Pelodiscus sinensis: one gene and its partners. The protein of the gene in region 3 interacts with the protein of the main gene of each other region in a pairwise test. Links are inferred from orthologs where the notes say so. Each region holds a gene or a part of one and is shown on either strand. Other genes may lie near its edges. The genes, in order: FAM13C, KANSL1, TFIP11 and NFU1.

Region 1 (6,842 bases), on a different chromosome or scaffold from region 3:
TCATTTCTCGAACTTGTCCAAGTTTTTCTCGTGGGCTACATCTAGACTGGCCCCTTCTCCAGAAGAGGCATGCAAAGCAGGCAAGTCAGAATAGGGAAATCCGCGGGGGATTTAAATATCCCCCAAGGGATTTAAATAAACATGGCCACCGCTTTTTTTCCGGCTTGGGGAAAAGCCGGAAAAGAGCGTCTAGACTGGCACGATCCTCCGGAATAAAGCCCTTTTCCGGAGGATCTCTTATTCCTACTTGCAAGGAATGTTTATTTAAATCCCTCGGGGGATATTTAAATCCCCCGCGGATTTCCCTATTCTGACTTGCCTGCTTTGCATGCCTCTTCCGGAGAAGGAGCCAGTCTAGACGTAGCCAAGGTGTGTTTCCTAGACTGGACATAATACTCGAGTTAAGGCCTTGAATAGAGTGAAAAAAATACTTTTTATATCTTGCTTACAAACAGTTCTGCATCCCAGAACAGTGTGAGCTTTTTTTTGGCACATTGTTATTTTGTTGACTTATATTTACTTTGTGATCCACTAGAATCCCCAGGTTCTGCAGTACGTTTTTCTGGACAGTCATTTGCATTTGTATTTGTCTAATTGATTATTCCTTCTCAAGTGTAGTACTTTACATTTATCCTTATTGAATGTCATCCTATTTATTTCAGACCATTTCTCCAGTTTATCAGGATCAGTGTTTCTCAACCAGTGGTACGGGTACCCTTAGAGGTACTCAAGAGAAGTCGGGGGAGGAGAGGGGGCGGAGGGATACATGAAAACAACTGAAATTTTGAGAAAACTGAATTTTTGTTTTAAGTTGTACAGCACTTTATTATTTTTGTACTTTTTATTCCCAAAAATTTCATCGCCTGCCCAGCTACAATTAAGTGGTATAAACAAATGTGTTGCAATGGTGGAAAAAAAATTGTGTGTGTCTGAAAACTGTAGGTATTGGGGGTATTTATTTATGATTTATTTTGTAAAAAGGGTACTTTATAAAAAAAAAGGTTGAGAAACATTGGTCAAGATCATTTTGAATTATAATCCCATCTTTGAAAACATTTGCAACCCCTACCAGCTTGGTATCCTCCAGAAAGTTTGAACACATACTTTTTATGCCACTATCTGAATCATTTCTGAAGATATTGCATACAATTGGACCCAAGACAGATCACTATCAGAGCACACTTGATATGCCCTTCCAGCTTGACTGTGAACCATTGATAATTGCTCTCTGCGTATCGTTTTCCAACCAGTTGTGCACCCACTTTATAGCATGTCTTCTCTTCTGTGTATTTATTAATGTGGCTCTGTTTTAAACAAAACAATGCCAAATTATTTTTACAGTACTGCTTTTGGCATGGAGAGTCTGTCCAGAAACAGTGACTAAAAGTATCATCAGCCAAAAAAAAAAATGAAATTAAGCATGCAAATGAGTCATAAACAAATGAAAAATAGAAAGTGATTTAATCATAGGCGTTTGACATTAACATTAACATGATTAATTTAAACAGTTTGATGGTGCCTTTCAAGACATGGATTTTCCCCCTCCTAATTCCTGTGAATACTATGCTTCTTGGCTACATCTACACTGGCCCCTAATTCCGGAAAAGTCATGCAAAGCAGGTAAGTCAGAATAGGGAAATCCGCGAGGGATTTAAATATCCCCCGCGGATTTAAATAAACATGTCCGCCACTTTTTTTCCGGCTTGGGGAAAAGCCGGAAAAAAGCATCTAGACTGGCGCGATCCTCCGGAATAAAGCCCTTTTCCGGAGGATCTCTTATTCCTACTTTCAAGTAGGAGGGATACTTTCAAGTAGGAATAAGAGATCCTCCGGAAAAGGGCTTTATTCCGGAGGATCGCGCCAGTCTAGATGCTTTTTTCCGGCTTTTCCCAAAGCCGGAAAAAAAGCGGCGGACATGTTTATTTAAATCCCTTGGGGGATATTTAAATCCCCCGCGGATTTCCCTATTCTGACTTACCTGCTTTGCATGACTTTCCGGAATTAGGGGCCAGTGTAGACGTAGCCCTTGTGAATATTGCTCAGAGCTCCATATTAAGGCCAAATTCTACCCTAAATAGTAGCATTTTATTTCAGTGGATTTACAGAGATTGTGAAGTAGCCAGCAATCATCCTCATGCGTGTGTAAGAATGCAGAGGTTATTCTTACCAGACCATTCTGTGCTCATTCTCTCAAGTTATAAGACATTTTCAGCATGTATGAGAAGTACTTTGATCTGATTTTTCAGCTCACCCAAGGCTTTTCTCTTATTGATGCAACATGGTGTCCATTAAGTAATGGCTCCCCTATTGAATTATGGTTCAAATACCAGCAGTACTGTCAGCACCAAGGCAAAAATCAAGAGTCAAGCCTCCAAACACCAACAGATTAGCCTGAGAATTGGGATTATTTATTTTAAATTAGATTTTTAAAATATTGCATTTTATTTTTTTTATTTGCCTTTTGCGACTCAGTTTGGCATCTTACAGCACTAGCTTAAGGACACAGTTGCTTCACATTTTCAAACTTTTCTCTAGAAACAAGTGGCCTAGAAACCAACTTTAAAAAAATTAAAGCTGAGACCCTTTTGCAACTCCTTAATTCCAATATCTGGGGTCCTTAAGAAAACATCCAAATGCCATGAGCCTTGTGATTTAATCATGAGTCATAACACTTTAGTGATTAGTCATCGAAGGCCATGTCTGCATTGTAGACTTCAGTCAACACAAGTTATAGTGACATATAGCCCCAGTTAGTTTATCACTTGAGCTCACGCATACTTGGTTCCTTGAACTGGCACTATGTACTCTCCAAGCCCTGGTCTACACTAGCGCTTTATTTCAAAATAACACCCCCTTCTGTTGAATTTATAAATGGACCATCCACCCTACCAAGCCTGTAATTTCAAAAATTGTGTTATTGCTTATTTCAAAGTCTGCAGTCCTGCTTTCCTCAGGAATAATGCTAATTTCAAAATAGTTATTTCAAAATAGTGGTAGTGTGAACACTCTGGTGCCACTATTTTGAAATAACTACTCCCCAGGGTAATTCAAACTAATTACTCGCCAGTGGTTCCTGGGCTCCAAGTCAAGGTAGTATGTCCTCATTAATGGTGCCTGCCTCAGACTAATTTTGAGGCTTCTCTGTAGTGGAGACAAGCTATTTTGATTTTGTAAAATTTGGAGTTAAGTTGAATTTAGTTATTTAAAAATAGTTTCTTAGTGTACACATGTCCCAAGAGTGCTTGTGTCGATGCAGAGCAGATACAATGGTAAGTATTCCCATGTGCAAGCTGCCAGCTCACTGTCTTTTAGGAATTTTTGGTAATGCCTAGGGATGGATATGAGGAGGGGGAAGAAATGAACCATGAGAAGTGATTGGGAGTAAGCAGTCAACTTTCCAGCATGCAGTTGTACCCATCCTATAATGTCAGTTCTATTACATAATTTTAAAAAAATCCTAGGAACCCCCTTGCTATCTGCCATCAGTACTAGAAACATCTAGCCTGAACATCTTTGCCCTACTGTGGAAAAAGTTGCAAACACAGAATGCATAATCCTCCATTATTTGCAGTGCAGTAGGAAGAACAGAATCACCAGGGAACATGCTGATTTCTTGGAGTCCAGATTGCTGTGGGATGTAGTGACCAATTCAAGGTTATTGGTTGAGTGCATGGAACAGCTACAGATGATGGAGTACAGGTTCTGGAACTAAAAAATGAGCATTGATTGGTTGGATTGCATCATAATGCCGATTTGGGGTGACATGTAATAGCTATGGAACTTCTGGGTGCAGAGTCCACATTCCTGCAGCTGCGCAGTAGATCGAAGTTATCTGGATGTCAATAAGATATTTGATACAGTTCCACATGGGATATGATGAGTTAAATGAAAGAAAATGGGGATTAGTATGAAAATTGAAAGGTGGATAAGGAACTAGTTGAATGGGAGACTACAAAGGGTCATACTAAAAAAAGTGAAATGTCAGGCTAATGGAGTTCCTCAGGTCTCTATCTTGGGACAGGTCTTATTTAACATTTTCATTAATGATCTTGGTGTGAATGTGCACTAATAACATTTTCAGATGATACAATGTTATAGCTAGTATGATATAGTCAAGATCATGAAAATTGGAATTACATTTAATGATGTGTGTGAGGTCATGCACTTAGGTACTTATGACAAGAATTTTTGCTATAAACTTTTTTTTGCTATAAATTTTTGCTATTCCTACTTTCAAGTAGGAATAAGGGATCTTCCGGAAAAGGGCTTATTTTCCGGAAAATCGCGTCTACACTGGCTCTTTTCTCCGGCAAAAACCCCAAGCTGGAAAAAAGCAGCAGCCATAGAAATGCAAATGCCGCGGGGTATATTTAAATCCCCCGCGGATTTGCAATTCCGAAGTGTCTCAATAGCATCCCTTTTCCGGAAAGGGATGCCAATGTACACATAGCCCTAGTGAAATAGTTCTTCCTAATATCCAACCTGGACCTCTCCCACCACACCTTGAGACCATTGCTCCTTGTTCTGCCATCTTTTACTACTAGAACAGCCTTTCTCCATCATCTTTGGAACCTCCCTTCAGGAAGTTGAAGGCTGCTATCAAATCCCCCCTCACTCTTCACTTCTGTAGACTAAACAGACCCAAGTCCCTCAGCCTCTCCTCATAAGTCATATGCTCCAGCCCCCTAATCATTTTGGTTTCCCTCCGCTGGACCCTCTCCAATGCATCCACATTCTTTTTGTAGTGGGGGGCCCAGAAATGGACACAATACTCCAGATATGGCCTCACCAGAGCGGAATAAAGGGGAATAATGACATCTTTGGATATGCTGGCAATGCTCCTCTGAATGCAACTTAATATGCCATTAGCCTTCTTGGCTACAAGGGCACACTGTTGACTCATATCCAGCTTCTCATCCACTATAACCCCCAGGTCCTTTTCTGCAGAACTACTACTTAGCTGGTTGGTCCCAGCCTGTAACAATGCTTGGGATTCTTCTGTCCCAAGTGCAGGACTCTGTGCTTGTCCTTGTTGAACCTCATCAGATTTCTTGTGGCCCAATCCTCCAATTTGTCTAAGTCACTCTGGACCCTATCTCTCCCCCTAGCTTAGTGTCATCTGCAAACTTGCTGAGGGTGCAATCCATCCCCTCATCCAACTCATTAATAAAGATATTGAACAAAACCGGTCCTAGAACCAAACCTTGAGGCACTCCTGTAGAAACCGACCGCCATCCTGACATTGAGCCGTTGATCACTACCCACTGGGCCCGGCCTTCTAGCCAGCTTTCTATCCATCTTACCATCCATTTCTCCAATCCACATTCCCTTAACTTGCTGGCAAGAATATTGTGGGAGACCGTATCAAAAGCCTTGCTAAAGTCAAGATATATCACATCCACTGTGGACTTTCCCTTGTCCACAGAGCCAGTTACCTCATCATAGAAGCTAATCAGATTGGTCAGTAACAGTAGTTCGAATTAGGATCTTTAATTCGAACTACCTACTCCGTGCTGCGGGCACGGAGTTCGGACTAAGGGGGATTTAAAAATGACGGCGCCCGGGAACATGCAAATGAAGCCCGGGATATTTAAATCCCAGGCTTCATTTGCCACTCCGCTTGCTTAATTACCCTACCTAGCTCGAACTATCGAGCTAGTGTGGACGTAACCTCGGCGACATCACCTGCACAACCACCGGTCAAAGGGTGATGTCCTGGAATAGCCTTCTATGGGGAGCAGTGGGTTCACAAAGCCTAACTGGTTTCAAAGCTGCATCTGGGAAGTATGGAGAGGGGATGGTGTGATGAGATTGCCTGTAATGTCACATGGACTATCTGCAACTGCTGGTAGCAGATATCTCCCCAGTAGCCCGAGATGGGACACTAGACAGTGAAGCTCTGAGTTTATGAAGAGGATTCCTTTCCAGGTGTCTGGCTGCTGGGTCTCACCTCTACCCTCAAAGTCTAATTAATCACTTTGTATAAGGTCAGGAAGGAATTTTCACCCAGGTCAGATTAGAAGGGACCCTAGGTTTAATTTGCCTTCCTCCGGCACTGAGGCATGGGTCACTACTACTTTGAGCTGGTGTAAATAGTTGATTTTCTGTCATTTGAAGTCTTTAGAGCATTTTTTGAGGACTTCAGTAACTCAGCTAGAGGTCAGGCATTTATGGGTATGTCTACACTGCAGAGTTTTTTTGGAAAAACTTCACTTACGTCCATGCTGCAATCACATTCTTAAAAAAAATCAAAAGAACAGAGGGGTTTTTCCAACAAGAGCTCTTTTGGAAAAAGGCATGTGTGGATGAGGAAGAGAGAGTTCTTTTGAAAGAAGAGGAAAGAGGAAAAAATTTAAGTGTCCTGGTGGCCGCTCCATTGATAGTAATCACAGTTGAAATGTGGGATATAGTCCATTCAGTCTGGACACTCTCTTTCACTTTTTCGATGCGCTTTTGCGGTGTAGACGCTCTCTTTCAGAGGAATTTTTTCCGAAAGATCTCTTCCAGAAAAGCTTCTTCTGAAAGAAGCCTGCAATCTAGACAAAGCCTATGACAGGAGTGGGTGGGTGAGATTCTGTTGCCTGTGACATGCCAAATGTCAGATGAGATGATCACAATGGTTCCTTCTTCAAGTTTGAATCTACAGAACAGTATGCATAGTGTGAGTGAGCTCAGGAGAGACAAGAATAAGAGACAATGTCAATGTTGTCTGAGGGGAGGGGTATTCTAACTGCCTTGTCGTGGTGTGACTTTAGATTCACGCTAAGGATGCTTGAACTCTGCTCTTACACCATTCTAGCACAGGCTGCTTCAGTGGATAGGATGCCCCGCCTCCGAATCTC
Region 2 (7,586 bases), on a different chromosome or scaffold from region 3:
TCTATTAAATGCATACAGCTTGGCCAAATCTATACAATTCTACATTGTAATAATCACTACTACTTATATAATGCTTCTCCCAAAATCAGCGTACCTACATCAGCTAATCCTCAACTCCTTGTTCAGGCATATCAATATTATCCTAATTTTAGAGATGGAAAAAACAAGGCACAGAGAGTTGAAATAACTTATCCACCACAAATAGTAACTAGAAGATTTCCTATGCCAATGCTGAGTACACTAAACCATGCTGACAGATGCATGCAAAATTATAAGCACGTGTAACAATACTAGGATCCACGTAAACAGAGCAAAGAGAATATGGCAGCCATATACAAGCATTTCAGGGGTGTACACAACAAGAAAAGATACATTATTTGGGGGTTATTCAAAAATGGAACCTTGGACCAGTAGAATGAATCTAAAAGGGAGGGGGAAGTAGAATATCAGAAAGTGTTTCTTAATGGTGAGATTAGACAGACTGAAGCTGTGAATGCTCTATTCAATGAGTCAATTAAAAGTAGGCTGGACAAAGTATTAGACAAAATACCTTGAGGATCTGTCCTGCACTAACTGGAGTGATGGGGACTGCATTAAAATATACTAGATGGGACTCAGTAAATGTGCTCCTTTTCTTCATAATTTCTAAAATGTTTCAAATGTACTCACAATATTCTGTCTTCTGTATAAAGTGTTGACCTCATCAAGCCCTATCAAGTGTTTACAAAACACACACAAAAAAAACCAATACGGTTGGTAGTAGCAGGTTATAGCTTCATACAGTCAGAGTGGCGCTGACAGGATAGAGCTACTGTGACAATTCTAATGCATTTGGAAATCTCCAGATAACCTGACAAAGAGGACCAGAAAGTCTTTCAGATTGAATTGATTTACACCCTGGAAAATAATTTCTAACAATTCTGTGAATGATTAAAATATTAAGGAAGTTACTTGGGTCCCACATTTTCAGTAGGAACTACCCAACTTCTAGTTTACAACCAGTGGCGGCCCGTCAATACAGGCGTACTAGGCAGTCGCCTAGGGCGCCAAGATAAATGGCCGTTGAGGGCTTTGGAGGCAGGGGTGCCGATTGCACGTTTCGCCTAAGGCGCCAGTTGCTGGCAGCTCGTCTAGGGCCGCTCCTGTTTACAACATACAGTGACCTCCCAAGTACACTACATCAGGAGACAGTGTCAAAAGCTGATAAAGCATTTCTGGTACCATGCTGAATGATCCTGAAATACTCACCTAAAATTATAGTTATTAGTATAAATGAATAGGTTTTTTAATATTATATTCACACTTAAAATACATATACAAATTCAAAATAAGTTTCATATATATTTAAAAAAATAAAAATTCCAGAAATTAATTGTATTTTTTCCAATTTTACACCACCAATTTTCTTCCTCAGAGAGAGCCCAAACCTAAAAAGTTCACTTTCAGTATTGAGCTGTATTCCTGGAGTTCCTTTTTTGGTTAATTATGTTTCACGAAAGTGTTAAAGAGGTCCTGGATTTTAAACCTCTCCTGAGAATAAATGGTACCATCAGAATTCTAAACAAAGACCTCAACTATCATGGTGCTTTTCATAATTCAGGCATTTTTGTATTGAACAAAAGTTTGTAAACAAGGTACCAGTTTAAAAATGAAGAACTAGAAGTTCCTACCTTGCAGGACATCTTAATAAAATCCATAGTGTCTGGAGCAATTCAGAAAAGACTCAGGATGGAGTTCTGAAGGACTTGTAATCTTTCCAAATCCAACCAAATTCCGCAAATCTTTCTGATTTCAAGAAGTGGAAATCTTTTGTCTATAACAAAAAACAACAATAAAAAAAGAATCAAGGGAAAGAAATATAACTTGCAAACAAAACATATATGATACAACTAGCCTTAAGAAAAAAAAAATCAGGATTTAGAAAGTAGACATTTTATCACCAACTTCACCCAAAAAAGCACAATATATAGCAAACACACAAAACAAACTATGTAAAGAATCACAATAACTGGAAAAATAGACACACCTCTGTAAACTCCTGGAGGACAAAATAGTTGGAAAGTGCAGACAAAAATCTGCACACTATATAGATTAAATAATTCAGTTAAAGAGATGAAAGGAATGTAAAAAAAGGATTGGGATTTAAGCACCTAACTCCCTTAGGCTCTCATGAAAATTCTCTTTTAAGAAATCACCTCCATGAGAAATTACACAATCACTTAATTTTATGCCACATTTATGAATGCCTGCCACCCACTGAAATACATTTATTTTCCAGGATCAGGTCTTTGGGGGCTGGGGAAGGGAATAATTTACAATAACAAAAAAAAGTCATAGAGTTATTTCTGCCAGGATTTTGTTTGTTTTAAATCATTCTAAAACCCACCTTGGGAGTATCAAATATGCCATTTTTTTCAATGTTTGGGTAAAATGGAGGACTGGACAAATAGAAGACATCTAAGAATATTTTCTATCCCATTTCCTAAAACTGAATAGCTAAAGTCTTTACAGGCTCTTTGCCATGTTTGCTTCTGTGACGCCTTTGCCATGTTAGTGCCAGTGCCTCTCCTCGCCTTCTTTTGCTCCTGTCCATGCCTTGGGGATCGTGCATGTCTGTGGTCATTTTGTTTCCCTTAACACAAGTAAACAAACAAAACCCAAACGCCTGAGAAGCCACAACCGATGACTCGCCTGAAAACTCCAAGCCACGGCTCAATCTCGCTGCAGCTCGGGAGTTATAAAGTGTCCTTGCGCAGGCACTGGAAGCCCTCTCCAAATTACGACGCTCACCCCGAGCCCCCTCCAGTGTATCCGCTCTGCGAGGAGACGATCCGGGTGTCTCCCAGCATGCGGCTGGCCCAGGTTAGAGCTCATTCCCGGCCCCCTCTGCGGATGCCCCCTGCCCGATGCCCCAGCAGCTCCCAGCATTTGGCCTGCTCGTTTAGCCATCACCATTGTTGCAAAATGCCACAAAATATCCCCCCCCAATGTGGTGTGTGACTGAGCAGCTGCAGATCCCCCCCCCACCCCGTCTATTTGCGTTTCACGTCTAGCTGCAAAGTTCCTGCTCTCCCCCGACCTCTCCGTCCCCCACCGCCCCCCCAAACTCACTTTCTGGCTGTGCAAGAACCATTCCTCCTTCTTCCCCCGCCCCCCGCCTTGGCCTGGTGAATTAGCTCTGAGCAATCGCTCCTCTCTGCTTGCATGGAAGAGTCACAGGGGGCTGTGCTCACTGCAGGGCAGGCGACTCCACGGCCCGATCCAATAAAGTTCTGACCCTCCCCTCACCACCCTCGCCCCCAGCCCCAGTGACTCCTCGTGCAAAGTTGCAGGACGGGGGCTCCTAGCACTACTTGGCCTGTTGTCTATGGCAGCACCATAGGGGGTGATCGGTCCCTCTGCCAGCCACACGCTCCCTCTCCCCGGCAACATGCCTTTGCAAGGCTACAGCCCCCCCGCTGCCTTGCCCCGCAGCCCCTCGGCCTGCCCTGGCCAGGTGCCCCCCCGCCCAGCCCTCCACAGCTCCCCCTTTTTCCTCCCCCGATTGCACCAGCTCCAGCCTCTGCTCCCACATCCCAGCACCTACCTGCACAGCTCAACCAGCCTTGAAGTGGGGATCTTCCTCCCTCCTCCCCTCTCATTGGCTGTGGGGAGGGCCTGGGCCGGTGTGGTTGGAGGAGGGGGTGTCTGTCAGCGTCAGGGGGCGGGGCGGGAGGGGTGATTGATGCGGGTGTCTCGGCTTGTCCCTGCCTCTGCTTGTGTTTCCCGGAGATGTTTAAGGGAAGGGGAGGGCTGCATGTGGCTGCCAGGCAGGGCCCATCCACTGGATCAGTCCCCCCCCCCCCACTCACTCACCCTCATGCTTGAATGAGATAAGGGGCAAACTACACAGCCTGGGAATGGGGAGACTGTGTGAAATGGGCAGGGGGAGTCAGGGAGAGGGATGGTGAGAAAGAGGGCATCCTGTTGCACTCAGCATCTCTGCTTCTGAGGGGCACGGGGACCACTCTGGACCACAAAAAGACCTCTGCAGCCTCCAAGCTGAGAGAGGCTTTGACACACACCCGCACATGCCATCACACCACATCTGGGCCTACAGGGGGAAGGAAAAGCTGGGGCGCGCCTGTCACGTCGCAGCACGCCGCTCTGAGCTAGGAAACTCACCAAAGAGGGAGAGGGAAAAGCAGGAGGATTCCTGCAGTGAAGGTATCCCTGAATATCATATCCCTGCTGGTTTTAGAAGAAAAACAAAAGTTGCTTTTCCTGTTGTGGGCACACAATCTATTAGCAGTTCTCCCAAAGACTGTCCCCCTGAATAGTGATAGAAATCTATGCTATCATGTGCCGAAAGTGTCCGTCTGCTATGTACATTGGACAAACATCTCAGACACTTCGCCAAAGGATTAATGCCCACAAAACAGATATCAGACAAGATCACAAAGAGAAAACAGTTTCTTGCCATTTTAACCAGAAAGGACACTCTCTCAATGACTTGACCACCTGCATTCTGCTACAAAGACCTTTTACATCTGCACTTGAAAGGGAATCCTCTGAACTGTCATTCATGTTAAAATTCGACACTTGCCAACAAGGACTTAACAAACATTTGAACTATCTCACCCATTACCAAGACAGTTTCCCCAATTATCACCTCTAATACCATTAACTCACAAACATCCCACTCTCCCTACCTCTAATATCATCAATTCACAGACACTTACCTTCCTTTCTTCCCCCCCCCCCCCCGCATCCCCCTCCTGTTCTGCAATGTGATTTGTCCTTTTCATATTTGTTCATTTTTTTAATTGTATCCTTTGGTATATATGGTTGTGACTATTTTCTTCCACTATTTGATCTGAGGAAGTGGGTCTGGCCCACGAAAGCTCATCATCTAATAAACCATCTTGTTAGTCTTTAAAGTGCTACATTGTCCTGCATTTTGCTTCATGTCCCCCTGAACAAACTACTAGCTGAGACAGGGCAATTGTTAATAGGTTAAGTGCAAAAGCCCCACAAGGATGGTCCACTAACATATCTGTCACACATTGGAGGCCCAGATATAATCTTTTTCCAATGATCACACCCCACTGCCTCGTAAACCAAGAGTAGCTGAAACCTGAGTGGTGATGTGACAGCAATGCCCATAGCACTGCCATTGCTGTAGTGTGGGCATGGAGCCAGCTTGCTTGTTTTCCAGGAAACTCTAACCACAACCACAAGGGCCTTCCTTCCTCAACCTGCCAGGATTACAGTTCCAGTGCCAGGGCACCAGGTGTAGCTGCAGGTGGTACGTGCCACCTCAGCAATTAAGTCCAGTATAGTGCACATATTTAATTAGGAAGTTACTTCTGCTCCTGGTTTTTAACATGTTAAAATCCTAATGCAGACAAGACAATTTGCAGTTTTAACTCATTAGCCTGATAGACTTTTTCCTAGGGATTGCTTTGACCTGCTTACATGTTAAAATTACAGCTTGCTACATCAACACCAGGATGCTAACAAGTATTAGAACACACATCTCTTTTTTTTCCTAGAGAAGGCAAGACCATTATTTAATTTTTCCTGTTATATTGTACATTTTTTCATTGTCAGTGGAGTAAGAGTGGTTACTGCTGCTGTGGCAATTTCAGCAAGAATCCATGTCCGGGAAACCCAGATATGAAAAGCTGGTTTCTCAGCGCATGTGAAGTGGGTCTGTTGTAAGTTCTATTCAGAGATTTTTCAGTTGAGGCATAAGTCACATACTGAGCTGATAAACTTTCAGCTTTCAAGAAGTCTTTACATTTCCAGTAGTTGTTACCTCCCCTCCCAGGATCAGAAGACAAAGAAGGCCAACCATTTTAAAGTATGAAGCCCTTCCTGAAATGTAAGACTAAAAATGCTAAATTGTTAAGTAATCGGATTTATTTTAGGCACTTCACAGTGCAATGTTGAGTTCTGTTTATGCTTAATATTCTTTGCATAGAAATGGACAAATTATTATAGCATGCATTATGGTAGAAAGAGTCTAACCCAGGGCCTGAGAGTGATTAAATAATATTACTCAGTACTCTACATTTTGTAAGCACTGTTCAACTATTAGCAGGGTTAATGAGTTAAACCTCATGACCCTGCTATGAGATAGGTATAAATATCCCCATTTGGGGAAACTGAAGCAAAGAAAGGATAAGTGATTTATCCAAGCTGAGCTGATGGTAGAACTAGATCTCAGTTCCTCGTTTTTAGCTCCATGCTCTATCCGCTTGATCACATCTAAAAGAGTCATGTTTTTAACATTTTAAATTGAGGAAAGGTGAGCTGTGCCAGAAGCACCACTGGACTGCAACACAGAAGAAGGTTTGGGCATCCACTGATCTCTTTGCAATGATGGAACCCCAAAAGTCAAGATAGTGCAGTGTGGCAATCATGTAACAAAGCAACTTTTACCTTCTAGATATCTTTAAAAAGGGTGACTAAGTTCAGCTGTATGGATTTGAATTAGATTCTGTGCAAAACCATTCTTCCTTGAGTAGAGATTATTCTTTGCCATAGTGAGTAGGAGTAGTTTTCCTGTGGAGACATGAGGACTAGGTACACTCCAGCTTGTTGAAGTAGGCCAGAACTGTTCTATGTATATCATAATAAGCATAATAAGGATGTGTTGATTTGAATCCACAGTAGACAGGATTTTTCAGACTGCTCTGAATTCTATTACACTGGTGCTGTTCTGTCCCTCTAAGGAGATCAGAATCACTGGACTATTTGAAGTATAAGGGGAAACCCTGGACCCACTTAAATCAATGGCAAAACTCCCACTAACTTCAGTGAGGTCAAGATTTCACCCATAGAGTGGACAACCCCAATCCATGGAGTTCATTCATGGAACTCTGTGATCATTTGTTTGTGTGAAAAACTAGTCATCAGCTTTCCAGGGTGGGAGTCACAGGTGTCTTCAGAGCATCACATTGCACACTATAGCTCTAGCAAATAAGTAGATTACATCAGTGTAGGCATCTTAAAAGAAGATGGCTGTTACAAAACAATTTTTTAAGAACTGCTCCAAGTGTGTTGATTTTTAATACTGTAGGAAAGAACATCTGACAAAGGTGTCCAAAGGTGGCTTTGGCAAAATCCTTGGGGCCCTTAATACAGAAGATCTAAATCTCACCCACCTATACAAGCTCCATGGAGATATAAACTAAAGGCTAGAATCCATACAATTACTCTTCTGAACCTGTGCCGAGAGGAAGAAAATATGGACGTTCCCAGAGGCAGGATGATAATGAATTAAGCATGACCTTTGTTTTTGTTTTTTTATTATTAATTTCTTCTTGTAAGTTCAATAAACAATTTCTGCACTTTCTCCTAGTTTTATTCTTGACTAGTAGCGTCTTCAAACATGAGGAATTTTAATCTGAGGAAACATTTTAATCTAAAAGGGAAATGTGGGACTCCTCACTCCAAATCACACCTATATTGGAAAATTTTAAGGAAAATGTACTTGACTTTAGACATCTTTTTTCTTTGTCTTGATGTTACATGGCTTTCTGTGTCTTCCCCTCTTTTAAGATATTAAAAGTATGAGGAGCGTGATAATGAACTTCCTA
Region 3 (6,886 bases):
CACAGATCATCCAGTCTGGCATTCTGTCTTCAGCAGTGATAGGATTTTGTACAGTTACACATTTTTATATGTGGCCCTAATATATTCAGGTACTTTTAAAAATCCTGTTATAGCATGTTCCTCTGACCTCCGACTCCAATGAATTCTATAGCTCAGCAATACACTGCACAAAATAGCATTTCCTTTGGTTACAAGTTGACTGTCTTTTAATCATAGAATGCTAAAATTGGAATGGATCTCAAGAGGTTATAAAATCCAGTCCCCTGCCCTCATGACAGGACCAAACACCATCTAAATTGTCCCTGACAGATGCCTATTTATCCTACTCTTAAATACCTTTGGTGATGGAGATTCCACAACCTCCGTAAGAAATTTAATCCAGTATTTAACCACCCTGACAGTGAGTTAATTTAATCTTCCTCCTTCTGTCTCCTCATACTAAATAATCAGAGACTGACATGGGTAGTAGACTTCACAATTTCATTCTAATTACTGCTGTAATTATTTAAAACTAATATAATTGGATTTAATCTTGAAGATCTGAATTGGCTGAAGAAGAGGTGGGAAAACAAAACCAAGTTATTCAGTGTCTCAAGGTTGCAGTTTCCTTAAAGAATCCCCATCTTGGACCCACACTCTTGGGGAAAACACACAGTACCTTGAGCATTCTTTCCAAGCCCTCTACCAGGAACATAACCCATTTTCTGAAGAAGCTTCTGCCCTATTCCTTTGGTGTGTCTCTCCCAGCTGCCAAAGTCCATGAAAGATTTGGTCCCACCTACAAATCCTTTCTGGCTGGGTTTGAAATTGCCACCCTGTTCAGAGAAAAGAAAAAACAACAGGTAAGTGATATAATCACCAAGCTCCTGGCTGCCTCAAGAGGGGATCTCCTCTGAGGAGCCCCACCAGCCTGCAGTCTGCGCTGCTCTGTCAGAGCACCCCCAAGCCACTGCTAGAGTTGGGGATTTGTAGCCCTGCTCCTATTATGGTCTGATCTATAACACACTATCATGAGCAGATACAAGTTGGTTCCTGATATTTTGCTTTTCAACAGTTGAAAAATGGGTTTTGATTCTTAATCCATTTAATTGGCAATTTGCTCATGCCAGCCACATTCAGTACTGTAAAAAGAAATAATTACAAAAATATTTATCATTGATGGGTGGAAGCAAAACTGGGTCATTAATTTACTTCAACTTCATTCAACTCAAAATGATTATCAATGAAGAGAAGAGGCTTAAGAGGCCTGGGGAAAAGATGAGCTCCCGAGAACCTAACACAATCCATGAAAACACATAAAGAAAAGCCAAGGGATATTCTTTCCCCCCACGGCAAACCAGTGTCACAAACAGTTCTGTGATCTTACTCAGCCACTGTCCTCCCTTCTCAGCTGATGTGTTACTAAAGCAGTATCTAGACCATACTGTGGTTGGCACTCCATAAATAATTGTTATAAGTTTCAAACTTTCATGAGTAACTCACTGTTTTTAACTTCTTTGGTACAAACTCTTTAGGGAGTTCTTCTTGCTTAATGGGCTTCTCATCTTCATCTGAATCTTCTTCTATCACTTCCTCAGCTGCAGCTTTCCTTAGCCCCGCACTGATGAAGTTAACGGGGGCGGAATAGTCACGAGAGCTACACAAAAAAGGGATTTCAGAGTCATGCTATTGTTCCACTGTTCCATTGAATTTGAACTTGAAATGCATACACTCAGACACCTTAATGCAATCATTACTGGTCCCAAAATAAACGCAATGTTAAGAAATAACATTTAAAAGCTGTTAAATTCAAACTTTTGTATTTCAGTCATAGAAAGTGTTGGTTTTGCATGTGCATGCAAGACTCTCTAATGAGTTGTAACTTAGCACAATGTTGATCTTCTTCATGAACTTGGCAATAAGGAAATGAATCTCGGAACCAAACTATACATGAAAAATTCAATCTATTTGATAACATGCTGAACTAAATAGTAACCCCTCACTGCTCCCACAGATACCTTTCAAAGCCATTACAATCTCAAATTGGCCACAGTAGCACAAAGTGTTTCCAAGAGACTAAGCCTTTTGAAGCTAGCACTATACATCAAGTGACTGAGTTAGTGTCAGAAAAACTTACATAATCAAATATTCTATAGAATGTATAAAGGCATCTCCCCAGTAGTTCTTTGCAAATGGACAGAGAAAAGAAAACCTCCAGAAAGTGAAAAATCCAATAGTGCTACATAAAGGAACTGATATCTCCTTTGGACTATTATTTTAGCTTATCGGCTATGCTAACCACTAACAGAAGATTCTTGCTGTTCACAGTACTGCCAGAGTTTGCAAGACACTGGTAACTGCCTGTACCGTTTGCCTCCAAAGCTGGGCCTCTCATCATCCGAGTCATGCTCAGCCCACACGCCATAGGTGGCCTCCTCCTTTGTCTGCCAGTGGCGCTGGCGGTTGGGGTTGAACTCATTCTGCAGGTCCCAGTCTGTGATTTCAAAGTTCTCCATCTCCACGTCGTCGTCGTCATCTTTGCCATAGAGATGGGACATTGACATGATGGCCTGGGAGAGTTGGAGCAAGCAGCTGGTCAGGGGGTGGATCCAGAGAGGGCTGGCAACAAAAGTAGGGGGCATAGACAGTGCAAGAGGGTGACATGGGATGGGTGTGAAGGTAAGGAGAGCAGGAGGCATGGCTAGTGAGGTGGTGGGTGACACAAGGACCAAGGTGTGAAGGGGATGACATGGCACAGCCAGTAGCACACAGGAGCAAGTGAGACAAAGCACAGGCAGCCATGACACACCAGGGCAAGGCAGCAAAATGGGGGGAGGGAGAGAGAGAGGGAGAGGTCTCAGCTGGCATAAGGCAGTGACAGGAAGAATGGTGGGGGGGATGAATCAGTGAGTGCAAGCCCAAAACAGGGTGAAGAGTACTTAGCTGGTGACCTGGAGGGAGGAAGCTTGGACAAAGCAAGGAGGTGACACTGGGGTGGAGAAATCATACGGTACAAGGCAGTGACATGGAGAAAGGGGGGGGGGGTTCGGCCGGCGCGAGGGGCTGACACGAGGGGGGGTTCGGCCGGCGTGAGGCGCTGACACGGGGGGGGCGCGAGGCGCTGACACGGGGGGGCGGGGTTCGGCCGCCGCGAGGTGCTGACACGGGGGGGGGGGATGTTGGGCCGGCGCGAGGCGGTGACACGGGGGGGGGGGTTGGGCCGGCGCGAGGCGCTGACACGGGGGGGGGGGGGTTCGGCCGGCGCGAGGCGGTGACACGGGGGGGGGGGGGGTTCGGCCGGCGCGAGGCGGTGACACGGGGGGGGGGGGTTCGGCCGGCGCGAGGCGGTGACACGGGGGGGGGGTTCGGCCGGCGCGAGGCGGTGACACGGGGGGGGGTTGGGCCGGCGCGAGGCGGTGACACGGGGGGGGGTTCGGCCGGCGCGAGGCGGTGACACGGGGGGGGAGGTTAGGCCGGCGCGAGGCGGTGACACGGGGGGGGGGTTTGGCCGGCGTGAGGCGGTGACACGGGGGGTGGGGGTTTGGCCGGCGCGAGGCGCTGACACGGGGGGGGGGGGGTTTGGCCGGCGCGAGGCGCTGACACGGGGGGGGGGGGTTTGGCCGGCGCGAGGCGCTGACACGGGGGGGGTTTGGCCGGCGCGAGGCGCTGACACGGGGGGGGTTTGGCCGGCGCGAGGCGCTGACACGGGGGGGGGGGTTTGGCCGGCGCGAGGCGCTGACACGGGGGGGGGGGTTGGGCCGGCGCGAGGCGGTGACACGGGGGGGGGTTGGGCCGGCGCGAGGCGGTGACACGGGGGGGGGTTGGGCCGGCGCGAGGCGGTGACACGGGGGGGGGGTTAGGACGGCGCGAGGCGCTGACACGGGGGGGGGGTTGGGCCGGCGCGAGGCGCTGACACGGGGGGGTTGGGCCGGCGCGAGGCGGTGACACGGGGGGGGGTTCGGCCGGCGCGAGGCGGTGACACGGGGGGGGGGTTCGGCCGGCGCGAGGCACTGACACGGGGGGGGGGTTCGGCCGGCGCGAGGCGGTGACACGGGGGGGGGGTTCGGCCGGCGCGAGGCGGTGACACGGGGGGGGGGTTCGGCCGGCGCGAGGCGGTGACACGGGGGGGGGGGGTTCGGCCGGCGCGAGGCGGGTGACACCGGGGGGGGGGGTTCGGCCGGCGCGAGGCGGTGACACGGGGGGGGGGGTTCGGCCGGCGCGAGGCGGTGACACGGGGGGGGGGGTTCGGCCGGCGCGAGGCGGTGACACGGGGGGGGGTTCGGCCGGCGCGAGGCAGTGATACGGGGGGGGGGTTCGGCCGGCGCGAGGCAGTGACACGGGGGGGGGTTCGGCCGGCGCGAGGCGGTGACACGGGGGGGGTTTGGCCGGCGCGAGGCAGTGACACGGGGGGGGGTTTGGCCGGCGCGAGGCGGTGACACGGGGGGGGGGTTGGGCCGGCGCGAGGCGCTGACACGGGGGGGGGGGGTTCGGCCGGCGCGAGGCGCTGACACGGGGGGGGGGGTTCGGCCGGCGCGAGGCGCTGACACGGGGGGGGGGTTTCGGCCGGCGCGAGGCGCTGACACGGGGGGGGGGTTCGGCCGGCGCGAGGCGGTGACACGGGGGGGGGGTTCGGCCGGCGCGAGGCGGTGACACGGGGGGGGGGTTCGGCCGGCGCGAGGCGCTGACACGGGGGGGGGGAGTTCGGCCGGCGCGAGGCGCTCACACGGGGGGGGGGTTCGGCCGGCGCGAGGCGCTGACACGGGGGGGGGGGGTTCGGCCGGCGCGAGGCGCTGACACGGGGGGGGGTTCGGCCGGCGCGAGGCGCTGACACGGGGGGGGGGGGTTCGGCCGGCGCGAGGCGCTGACACGGGGGGGGGTTCGGCCGGCGCGAGGCGCTGACACGGGGGGGGGGTTCGGCCGGCGCGAGGCGCTGACACGGGGGGGGGGTTCGGCCGGCGCGAGGCGCTGACACGGGGGGGGGTTCGGCCGGCGCGAGGCGCTGACACGGGGGGGGGGGTTGGGCCGGCGCGAGGCGGTGACACGGGGGGGGGGGTTGGGCCGGCGCGAGGCGGTGACACGGGGGGGGGGGGGTTGGGCCGGCGCGAGGCGGGTGACACGGGGGGGGGTTGGGCCGGCGCGAGGCGGTGACACGGGGGGGGGTTAGGACGGCGCGAGGCGGTGTCACGGGGGGGGGTTGGGCCGGCGCGAGGCGGTGACACGGGGGGGGGGTTGGGCCGGCGCGAGGCGCTGACACGGGGGGGTTGGGCCGGCGCGAGGCGGTGACACGGGGGGGGGTTCGGCCGGCGCGAGGCGGTGACACGGGGGGGGGGTTCGGCCGGCGCGAGGCGGTGACACGGGGGGGGGGTTCGGCCGGCGCGAGGCGGTGATACGGTGGGGGGGGTTCGGCCGGCGCGAGGCGGTGACACGGGGGGGGGTTCGGCCGGCGCGAGGCGGTGACACGGGGGGGGTTCGGCCGGCGCGAGGCGGTGACACGGGGGGGGGGGTTCGGCCGGCGCGAGGCGGTGACACGGGGGAGGTTCGGCCGGCGCGAGGCGGTGACACGGGGGGGGGTTCGGCCGGCGCGAGGCAGTGATACGGGGGGGGGGTTCGGCCGGCGCGAGGCGGTGACACGGGGGGGGGGGTTCGGCCGGCGCGAGGCGGTGACACGGGGGGGGTTTGGCCGGCGCGAGGCGGTGACACGGGGGGGGGGGTTTGGCCGGCGCGAGGCGGTGACACGGGGGGGGGGGTTGGGCCGGCGCGAGGCGCTGACACGGGGGGGGGGTTGGGCCGGCGCGAGGCGCTGACACGGGGGGGGGTTCGGCCGGCGCGAGGCGCTGACACGGGGGGGGGGTTCGGCCGGCGCGAGGCGCTGACACGGGGGGGGGTTCGGCCGGCGCGAGGCGCTGACACGGGGGGGGGTTCGGCCGGCGCGAGGCGCTGACACGGGGGGGGGGTTGGGCCGGCGCGAGGCGGTGACACGGGGGGGGGGTTGGGCCGGCGCGAGGCGGTGACACGGGGGGGGGGTTGGGCCGGCGCGAGGCGGTGACACGGGGGGGGTTGGGCCGGCGCGAGGCGGTGACACGGGGGGGGGTTGGGCCGGCGCGAGGCGGTGTCACGGGGGGGGGTTGGGCCGGCGCGAGGCGGTGACACGGGGGGGGGGTTGGGCCGGCGCGAGGCGCTGACACGGGGGGGTTGGGCCGGCGCGAGGCGGTGACACGGGGGGGGGGTTCGGCCGGCGCGAGGCGGTGACACGGGGGGGGGGGGTTCGGCCGGCGCGAGGCGGTGACACGGGGGGGGGGTTCGGCCGGCGCGAGGCGGTGACACGGGGGGGGTTCGGCCGGCGCGAGGCGGTGACACGGGGGGGGGTTCGGCCGGCGCGAGGCGGTGACACGGGGGGGGGGTTCGGCCGGCGCGAGGCGGTGACACGGGGGGGGCTCGGCCGGCGCGAGGCGGTGATACGGGGGGGGGGTTGGGCCGGCGCGAGGCGGTGATACGGGGGGGGGGTTCGGCCGGCGCGAGGCAGTGACACGGGGGGGGGGTTGGGCCGGCGCGAGGCGCTGACACGGGGGGGGGGTTGGGCCGGCGCGAGGCGCTGACACGGGGGGGGGGTTCGGCCGGCGCGAGGCGCTGACACGGGGGGGGGGTTCGGCCGGCGCGAGGCGGTGACACGGGGGGGGGGGGTTCGGCCGGCGCGAGGCGGTGACACGGGGGGGGGGTTCGGCCGGCGCGAGGCGCTGACACGGGGGGGGGTTGGGCCGGCGCGAGGCGCTGACACGGGGGGGGGGTTCGGCCGGCGCGAGGCGCTGACACGGGGGGGGGGGTTCGGCCGGCGCGAGGCGGTGACACGGGGGGGGGGGTTCGGCCGGCGCGAGGCGGTGACACGGGGGGGGGGGTTCGGCCGGCGCGA
Region 4 (6,833 bases), on a different chromosome or scaffold from region 3:
GAGGCTGTTTAGTTGTCAAGTTAAAGTCTTTTAATGTCATGCAAGAGAACCTAAAGAAAGACACAGATTTTACCAACATCATCTCAATTGAAAATTTCACACATTTAATATCGCTAGATTTCACCTTAAGGAGGAGATCAGGTAACACAGACTGTCAGCCACAGTCTTATTTTCCCCTCCTCTCAACTAGATGTTGGGGGAAAAGGGAAAATGGGGTTTCAATTCCTGCTCCCTAGATTTCTAAGTGGCCAAGTGATCATCACACAGCAAACATTTTGATTTAAAATTCACCAGTGGCGAGTGGTGGACTGCTGTGGAGAAAGGACAGCAGCTTCACTGGCTACATGTACTAATTCAAGAAGCAAGGTACCAATAGAGATATTCATATCCAGTCCCTGGAGATAAGCTATAACAAAAAATTCTTGTCTTTGCTGGTCAGGTAAACTACACCAACCATCTGTTGAGACGCACAGATCTTAAGTGAAGAAAATGGTGAAGAATATACTGGAAAGGACAAACCTGAAGAGATGGAAAGCTGAATTAAACTGATTTTCAAACTGTTGAATTGCATATCTGCACATCTGATTACCATTGTTATGTGTGTCCTTGTTTTTTTACCCATACAACTGTTCATTTTTATATGCAAATTCCTATTTTGTGCACTGCCACTATAATCACATGCACAAACTTGGCATAAAAATTAGGGATGAAAGCGACCAGTCAAGTAGTCGATTACCCGATAAACCTAGGTTTATCAGGTAGTTGAGTCGACCACTCACATTCCCCCCTCCACTTGCTGCCTGTATCAGAGGCAGCAAGCGAGGAAAAACAGGAGATGGTATTGGGGGGAACTGGCTTAAAAGCTGTTTCCACCTAGCACTGTCTCCATTGTGCTGCCAGTCATTCCCCCACCGCCCACGTGCTGCTGCCAGGCAGGGGGATTGGGGAGGCTACAATGAAGCAGGCTCACTGTGAGCAGAGGCTGCTCTACAGTCTATGAAGCAGCCTCTGTTGCCTCTGTTCGTGGTGAGGTTCCAGTGGGGTGTCTGTGTTTGCAGCCAGCTCCTAGTACATTTAAACTGCAGGGGGTAGCTCCTGGACCTGGCGCAAGGTGGGACAGAGTGCCTTCCCTTATGACTAATCATGGATTGTAGTTGATACAAATTGTATTTACTACATGAATCATCTGCATCTTAATATCCTTAATGAAAATATCCATAATTTGAAAATCTAAGCTAAGACTTCTAACTTCCAATGATCTGCAATGTCATACTTATCTATATTGATAGTCATGTTTATTGTTACTAATAAACACGTTCAATAATGACAGCAAAAATATTTTAAGATCTAATCTATATTTCTTTATACAGCTTAGTCTTTGCTTCACTCCCTACTGGTTTAGACAATGAAAATAATGAAATTAGTCCCACATTTATAGTCAATTTTGCTTTCAGAATCTTAACAGTCGTTGCAGACATTTGAATACAAAATGTAAGCAATTGGGAGAAATGTGAGTGTAACAGTCCTTTTAAAACTTTTCTTATTGCAGAAATGTAGAAGTTGCTGCCTATTCAGATTTTCTGGGATAGTTCACTTGGGAACGTATAAACCCAGTGCTTAGTGCAGCAGCCCACAGTTCATTCTCATTAGGTGTCTCACTCAAACAGAGCACTATACATCACAGCTACGTTTTCACTGCAGGCTTTTTGCGCACGAACTATTTTGTGCAGGAGTTTCTGCCCAAAAATTCTTGCGCAAGAGCGCATTCACAGTGCCATGTGCTTTAGTGCAAGAGCGTCCATGGCAGTGCGGATGCTCTCTTGCACAAGAAAGCTCTGATGGCCAGTTTATTCATAGGGGTTTCTTGAGCAAAAAAAAAACCCTGTTGCCCATCCACACTGCCTTCTTGAGCAATTGCTCTTGCACAAGAGAGTTTATTCTTCATGGGGAGAGGAATAACACTTGCACAAGAAGCCCTATTTTCTGATGCTTTACTGTAAATTTACTTGTGCAAGAACACGCACACAGAACATATGTTCTTGTGCAAAAAGCCTGCAGTGTAGACATAGCCCAAGGTCGGAAGCATAAGGTGACCTGTTGCATCCCTTTCCCCATACAATGGGGAAGAGCATGAATGATGAGGGAATCCCAGATGTCTTTAAGGTACTTTAGGATTTAATATTAAGGGTGGGTGGCAACCGCCCCCAGTTTTAGCAATGCTCATGGCTCACAAGCACAAAGTCGGGTGAGTAGACAACTACATCCAGCTGCTTATGGTTTCACCTTCCTCCCCGATGCATCCTTCCTCTCTGCCTGTGCTGGAGGAACTGACAAGAGAACCGAGCCCCATGTCCCTCCCCCACCCAGCAGACAAGGGCACCTCGCCTCGCACCGCAGGGTCCCGGCCCCCCAGGCTCCTCAGCACCAGGAGGTACAAAGAACAAAGCGCCTCGTGGCAGGCGGGGCAGCTCGCAGGAATTTGCTTGTGAGGCCAGAGGAGCCCTTGGGGCGAGCGAGTCTCCCGCCTTCGCGCTGCACGGGGGGGGGGGGGTTAACTGCCAACCCCCCCCGGGGGAGAGCGGGGTCAGCCCCCACCCGGCCTGGGGGGTTAATCCCTGACGCCCCCCGTGCCCAGCCTGCGGGGGAGGGGACGTTAACCCCGCCCCCTGCGCGACCTGGGGAGGGGGAGTGAGGGGAGTTAATCTGCCCCCCCGTGCCCGCGGGGGGGGGAGGGAGAAGGGGACTTAACCACCTGCCCCCCCGTACCCCCCCCCCCCCCGGGAAGAGGAGCTCGCCGCCCCGCAGGGCGGGGCTTCGCTGAGGCGAGCGCGCGCCTGGGCCGGGGTCACCTACCGGCCGCTCAGCCCCGCCGCCGCTCGCAGCCAGCGGCCCGCCGCCATCTTGGATGCCCCGCAGCGACTGAGGCTGAGAACCCCCCCCCCCCCCCAGTCGCGGGGCTGCCTGCGCAGGCGCCTGGTTTGGGAAGGAGGCGCAGGCGCTGGGGCGGCCCCTCGTGGCCGCGGCGGGGAAGTGCAGCGAGCGCTGCGCTGGGGACCCGGGGCGCGTGGCCCGCCCTAGCGGCGGAGACGGGGATGGGATTTGGGGCAGGGGCCTGGGGGAGCCGCATCGGTCCAGCCCATTGCATAGAGCAGGGTCGGAAGAGACCCCAGCAGGCCATGGAGTGAGGGGCCCCACAGTGCCCCTGGGACCTGCCCTGGCCTTCCTTGTGCTGCTGCATGGCCTCGGGCTCATCCCGCTTTTACTTGCAGCTCTGAAATGGCACACCCTCCCCCCATACCCTCTGCAAAAACCCGACCTCTGCCCACCCCCACAGGCAGCACCAAGCTACCTACGTGTTGCGAGACCTCCGCCTGTCACAAACTAGCAGGATTGTATATGCTGAGGTAACAGCTTGGAACAAAACCTTTACTGTTCAGGGTGCAAAACTGTTATTTGCAATATTTCCAACATTAAGTGTTCAAAATCCAGCCCTTTGCCCCCCCCCCCCGCAAAATCATAATGTTGGAACTGAAAAATAGTGAGATTTCAAAAAAATACAAAAATACTATGCAGCTGCTTTTATTTGCCTTCTAGTTTTTCTTTTTTACTTTATACTTTGCCAGCCCTGGTGAGGTGAGAGTTTGAAATTTACTGTATTTTGTAATTAAAACTGTGAATTTAGGTAGTCCCATCCTCCCACAATCTTAGGCTTTGAAAGAACCAAATCCCAACTCGTGCTGACCAGGGTATTCATTATTTCTGTTACAATACTAGCCACAGAACCTAACTAGGAACAGGGGTCCTGCTGTGCTGAGGGGAGGTCAAATGCAGTGTTGGTTTGAGAGATCTAGCCCTTGTGCTTGACAACATATTTTGTCTCAATATGATCAGCAGCCATTGTAAAAAGTGCAGTTCTTCACCTCTGTATTTCAGAGTCATCACTTAAACACAGATAAAAACAGTTACCTGCCTGAGCATATGCAGTGCAGAACTCACTCCCATTGAGCTCCACAATCAAAAATACAATCTTTGCCCACCAGCACAGACCTCCCGTCTAAGAAAAATGACAACAGCTGTCAACACCAAGGTGTTTGGGGCTTACTTGTTCTGTGAAGAGCTGTGTGCATGAAACCGCAGAAAGAACAGAGACTTTGGGTATGTCTACACTACAGAGGGTTTTTTTCAGAAAAAATTGTAATTTTTCCAAAAAACTTCAATTACGTCCCCACTGCAATCGTGTTCTTCTGAAATAAAATCAAAAGAACAGAGGGTTTTTTCCAACATTAGCAATCCTCATTCTACAAGGAAGAAGCCTTTTTTCTGAAAGAGCTCTTTCAGAAAAAGGCATGTGTGGATGGGAAAGAGGGAGTTCTTTTGAAAGAAGAGGAAAAAGAAAAAAACACAGATGCCCAGGTGGCCACTCTGTCCAAAGTAATCACAGCTGAAATGTGAGATAGCGTCCACACTGAATGGACGCTATCTTTCAAAAAAGAAGATTGCTTTTTCAATGTGGACACTCTTTTGGAGGAAGGTTTTCTGGAAGATCTCTTCCAAAAAAAGCTTATTCCGAAAGACGCCTGCAGGAAGGCAGCAAGGAAGCATAGGCCTACACAAACAGTGACAGAGAGGATTTTTGGGCTGAGTGCTGGCTGAAAGAGGATTGGCTCTACTAGTGAAGAAACTGCCTCCCACTGTTTGATTCCTTTTGAGTTCTGGCGAACAGAACTTTGTACACTCTTTGTAAATAAACAGAAACACAGAGTTACCGGATTCCGTCATTAATTTCTTCTCCTAATGGAAACAATCTGCAGGGCTCTGAATTTTGGCTAACTGCTCAGATTACAAAGGGGCAGGTAGCTCATCTGAATAGAAGTGTTGCACAAATCTGATGAAGAATTTGGCTAACTAGACTCTCTTCCAGCTAGTTTGCTAGAGACTTATTTGGTCTGAAAATACTGTATTGCACTAACTCATTCATTTACATTACACAGCCTTTGACACAGAGGTTCTCTGCTGTGCAGATGTCACCTACTGGGAAGCATGGTGTACAGCTATGCTGCTGAATAAGGAAGAAAGTCATTCAGGGGGAGCATTTGAATCCTAAATAATCTCACCAAGATCAGCACATCTAATGTATAAAAGAGAATGTAAGTTTGTGCACTAACAGCTTGGACACTACAAGAGCTACTGCAACCAAACTTTGCATGGGAGAACCTTTCATCCAGAAGAAGGTTTCAAGGTACTTTTGGACCCGAGCAGGCCCGAGCTCAAGCTGTAAAAATCAAAAAGTAACCTGCCGTGCTGTGCTGCAGGCGCTGCCCCACCCACCCTAGGTCCTGTGCCCGCCGCCTGCGGCTCCCAGCACCATCCAGGACTTGCCCCTTCCTGCCTGCGAGGTTACGTAAGCGACCCTTGTTCCCCCTCCCCACCTTTGAGCCAGCAGGCAGTTCCCCAACCCTCACGTGCACGATGGCTTGGGCACCTGCCCTGCCCCCCCCCCCCCCAGCACCTGCAGCCCCGGGTGCAAGCTGGGGCGCCCCTCGCACGTGTAACCTCCCTTCCACCCGCGGTCGCACCTCCGGGCTGATGTGGACCTATATTTTAATCCCTATAGAAATCAATGCAAATTTTCTACCATTCAAAAAAGATAATGGACTACTGTTTTTCTACATTTTGTTCCTCTGGTTTCCTGAGCAACGCTGGGTGACTCCAGCTAGTATTCTATAAACCTGTGATTAATTCAAAGGGAATTACCCTAAAACTTGGCCTCCTATAAAGATACCGTATCACTGCCACCTGAGAACTGAATAGCAGTTAGAGTGAGGTTGGTCACATCTGTTTTTCCAATTTCAGATTGTTGAGAAGAAAGCAGCAATTCAGTGGCATAAAAATCAATGGCTGCATCCAGACTGGCATGATTTTGCGGAAATACTTTTAACTGAAAAGTTTTTCCGTTAAAAGGATTTCTGCAAAAGCGCGTCTAAATTGGCAAAGATGCTTTTGCGCAAAACGTGCTTTTGTGCAAAAGCATCCGTGGCCAGTCTAGACGCGATTTGCGCAAGAAAGCCCCGATTGCCATTTTAGCCGTCGGGGCTATTTTACGCAAAACAGTTCTTCTCTGTCTACACTGGCCCTCTTGCGCAAGTCTTCTTGCACAAGAGGGATTTTTCCTGAGTGTGAGCGTGAAAGTATTTGTGCAAGCAGCACTGATTTTGTACATTACAAAGTCAGTGCTCTTGCGCAAATTCAAGCGGCCAGTGTAAACAGCTGTCAAGTTTTTGCGCAAAAGAGGCCGCTTTTGCGCAAAATCTTGCCAGTCTAGACGCACCCAATATGTTTTGCCCATCAGACTTTCTTTCAAGGGAGAGAGTTCCATTTGCCCATTGTTACCTACCAGCTCTGTGTTCTTGGGGAACCAGGGAGTGACAATCAGGGAAAACATTCCCCTCCCCCAGGCCTGTCCTTGAATCAAAGACAAAGCAATGAAAAGACAGGGGAAGACACACCTTCACCCCTCAAGACAAGGGTGATAGGATTAAGGAAACACCCCAGCCTCATCTGCATTGAAGATAGAACAGAGAGAAATCTCCATTAGCATGCAGAGTACAGACCAGCTCTTCCAAAGCAAGAACCACACTGAACTATGGGATACCGAAAGCAGAGAAGTACTGCCTGATGGGAAATCTCTGCTCCAGATGCTGCTCACCCCCAAATTTAGTCTTCCTCAGACCAATTCCAGTAATGGAGCCTATTGATATCCAAAATACTGAAACTGCCTAGTTGCATTGTGAGTTCTATCAAGGAACATCACCCACAGTCAGGCATGATCAGTC

The links.
Region 1: the proteins of TFIP11 (region 3) and FAM13C interact in binary tests that used the Homo sapiens proteins (3 or more experiments, as listed by UniProt). The two-hybrid records come from large-scale screens. The link is inferred for Pelodiscus sinensis from reciprocal best matches to the Homo sapiens genes TFIP11 and FAM13C.
Region 2: the proteins of TFIP11 (region 3) and KANSL1 interact in binary tests that used the Homo sapiens proteins (3 or more experiments, as listed by UniProt). The two-hybrid records come from large-scale screens. The link is inferred for Pelodiscus sinensis from reciprocal best matches to the Homo sapiens genes TFIP11 and KANSL1.
Region 4: the proteins of TFIP11 (region 3) and NFU1 interact in binary tests that used the Homo sapiens proteins (3 or more experiments, as listed by UniProt). The two-hybrid records come from large-scale screens. The link is inferred for Pelodiscus sinensis from reciprocal best matches to the Homo sapiens genes TFIP11 and NFU1.

Annotation. Positions count from the first base shown.
Region 1 is NC_134718.1:21,958,206-21,965,047, reverse strand, and holds the start of FAM13C (protein FAM13C), read left to right. Parts: upstream 1-3,817; 5' UTR 3,818-3,895; coding exon 3,896-3,921; intron 3,922-6,842.
Region 2 is NC_134739.1:6,915,753-6,923,338, reverse strand, and holds the start of KANSL1 (KAT8 regulatory NSL complex subunit 1), read right to left. Parts: upstream 3,017-7,586; 5' UTR 2,692-3,016; intron 1,814-2,691; 5' UTR 1,671-1,813; intron 1-1,670. UniProt on the Homo sapiens protein: Non-catalytic component of the NSL histone acetyltransferase complex, a multiprotein complex that mediates histone H4 acetylation at 'Lys-5'- and 'Lys-8' (H4K5ac and H4K8ac) at transcription start sites and promotes transcription initiation.
Region 3 is NC_134725.1:39,273,712-39,280,597, forward strand, and holds the start of TFIP11 (tuftelin-interacting protein 11), read right to left. Parts: upstream 3,012-6,886; 5' UTR 2,679-3,011; coding exon 2,347-2,678; intron 1,637-2,346; coding exon 1,483-1,636; intron 816-1,482; coding exon 659-815; intron 1-658. UniProt on the Homo sapiens protein: Involved in pre-mRNA splicing, specifically in spliceosome disassembly during late-stage splicing events. Intron turnover seems to proceed through reactions in two lariat-intron associated complexes termed Intron Large (IL) and Intron Small (IS).
Region 4 is NC_134738.1:1,380,010-1,386,842, forward strand, and holds the start of NFU1 (NFU1 iron-sulfur cluster scaffold homolog, mitochondrial), read right to left. Parts: upstream 3,006-6,833; 5' UTR 2,901-3,005; coding exon 2,854-2,900; intron 51-2,853; coding exon 1-50. UniProt on the Homo sapiens protein: Iron-sulfur cluster scaffold protein which can assemble [4Fe-4S] clusters and deliver them to target proteins.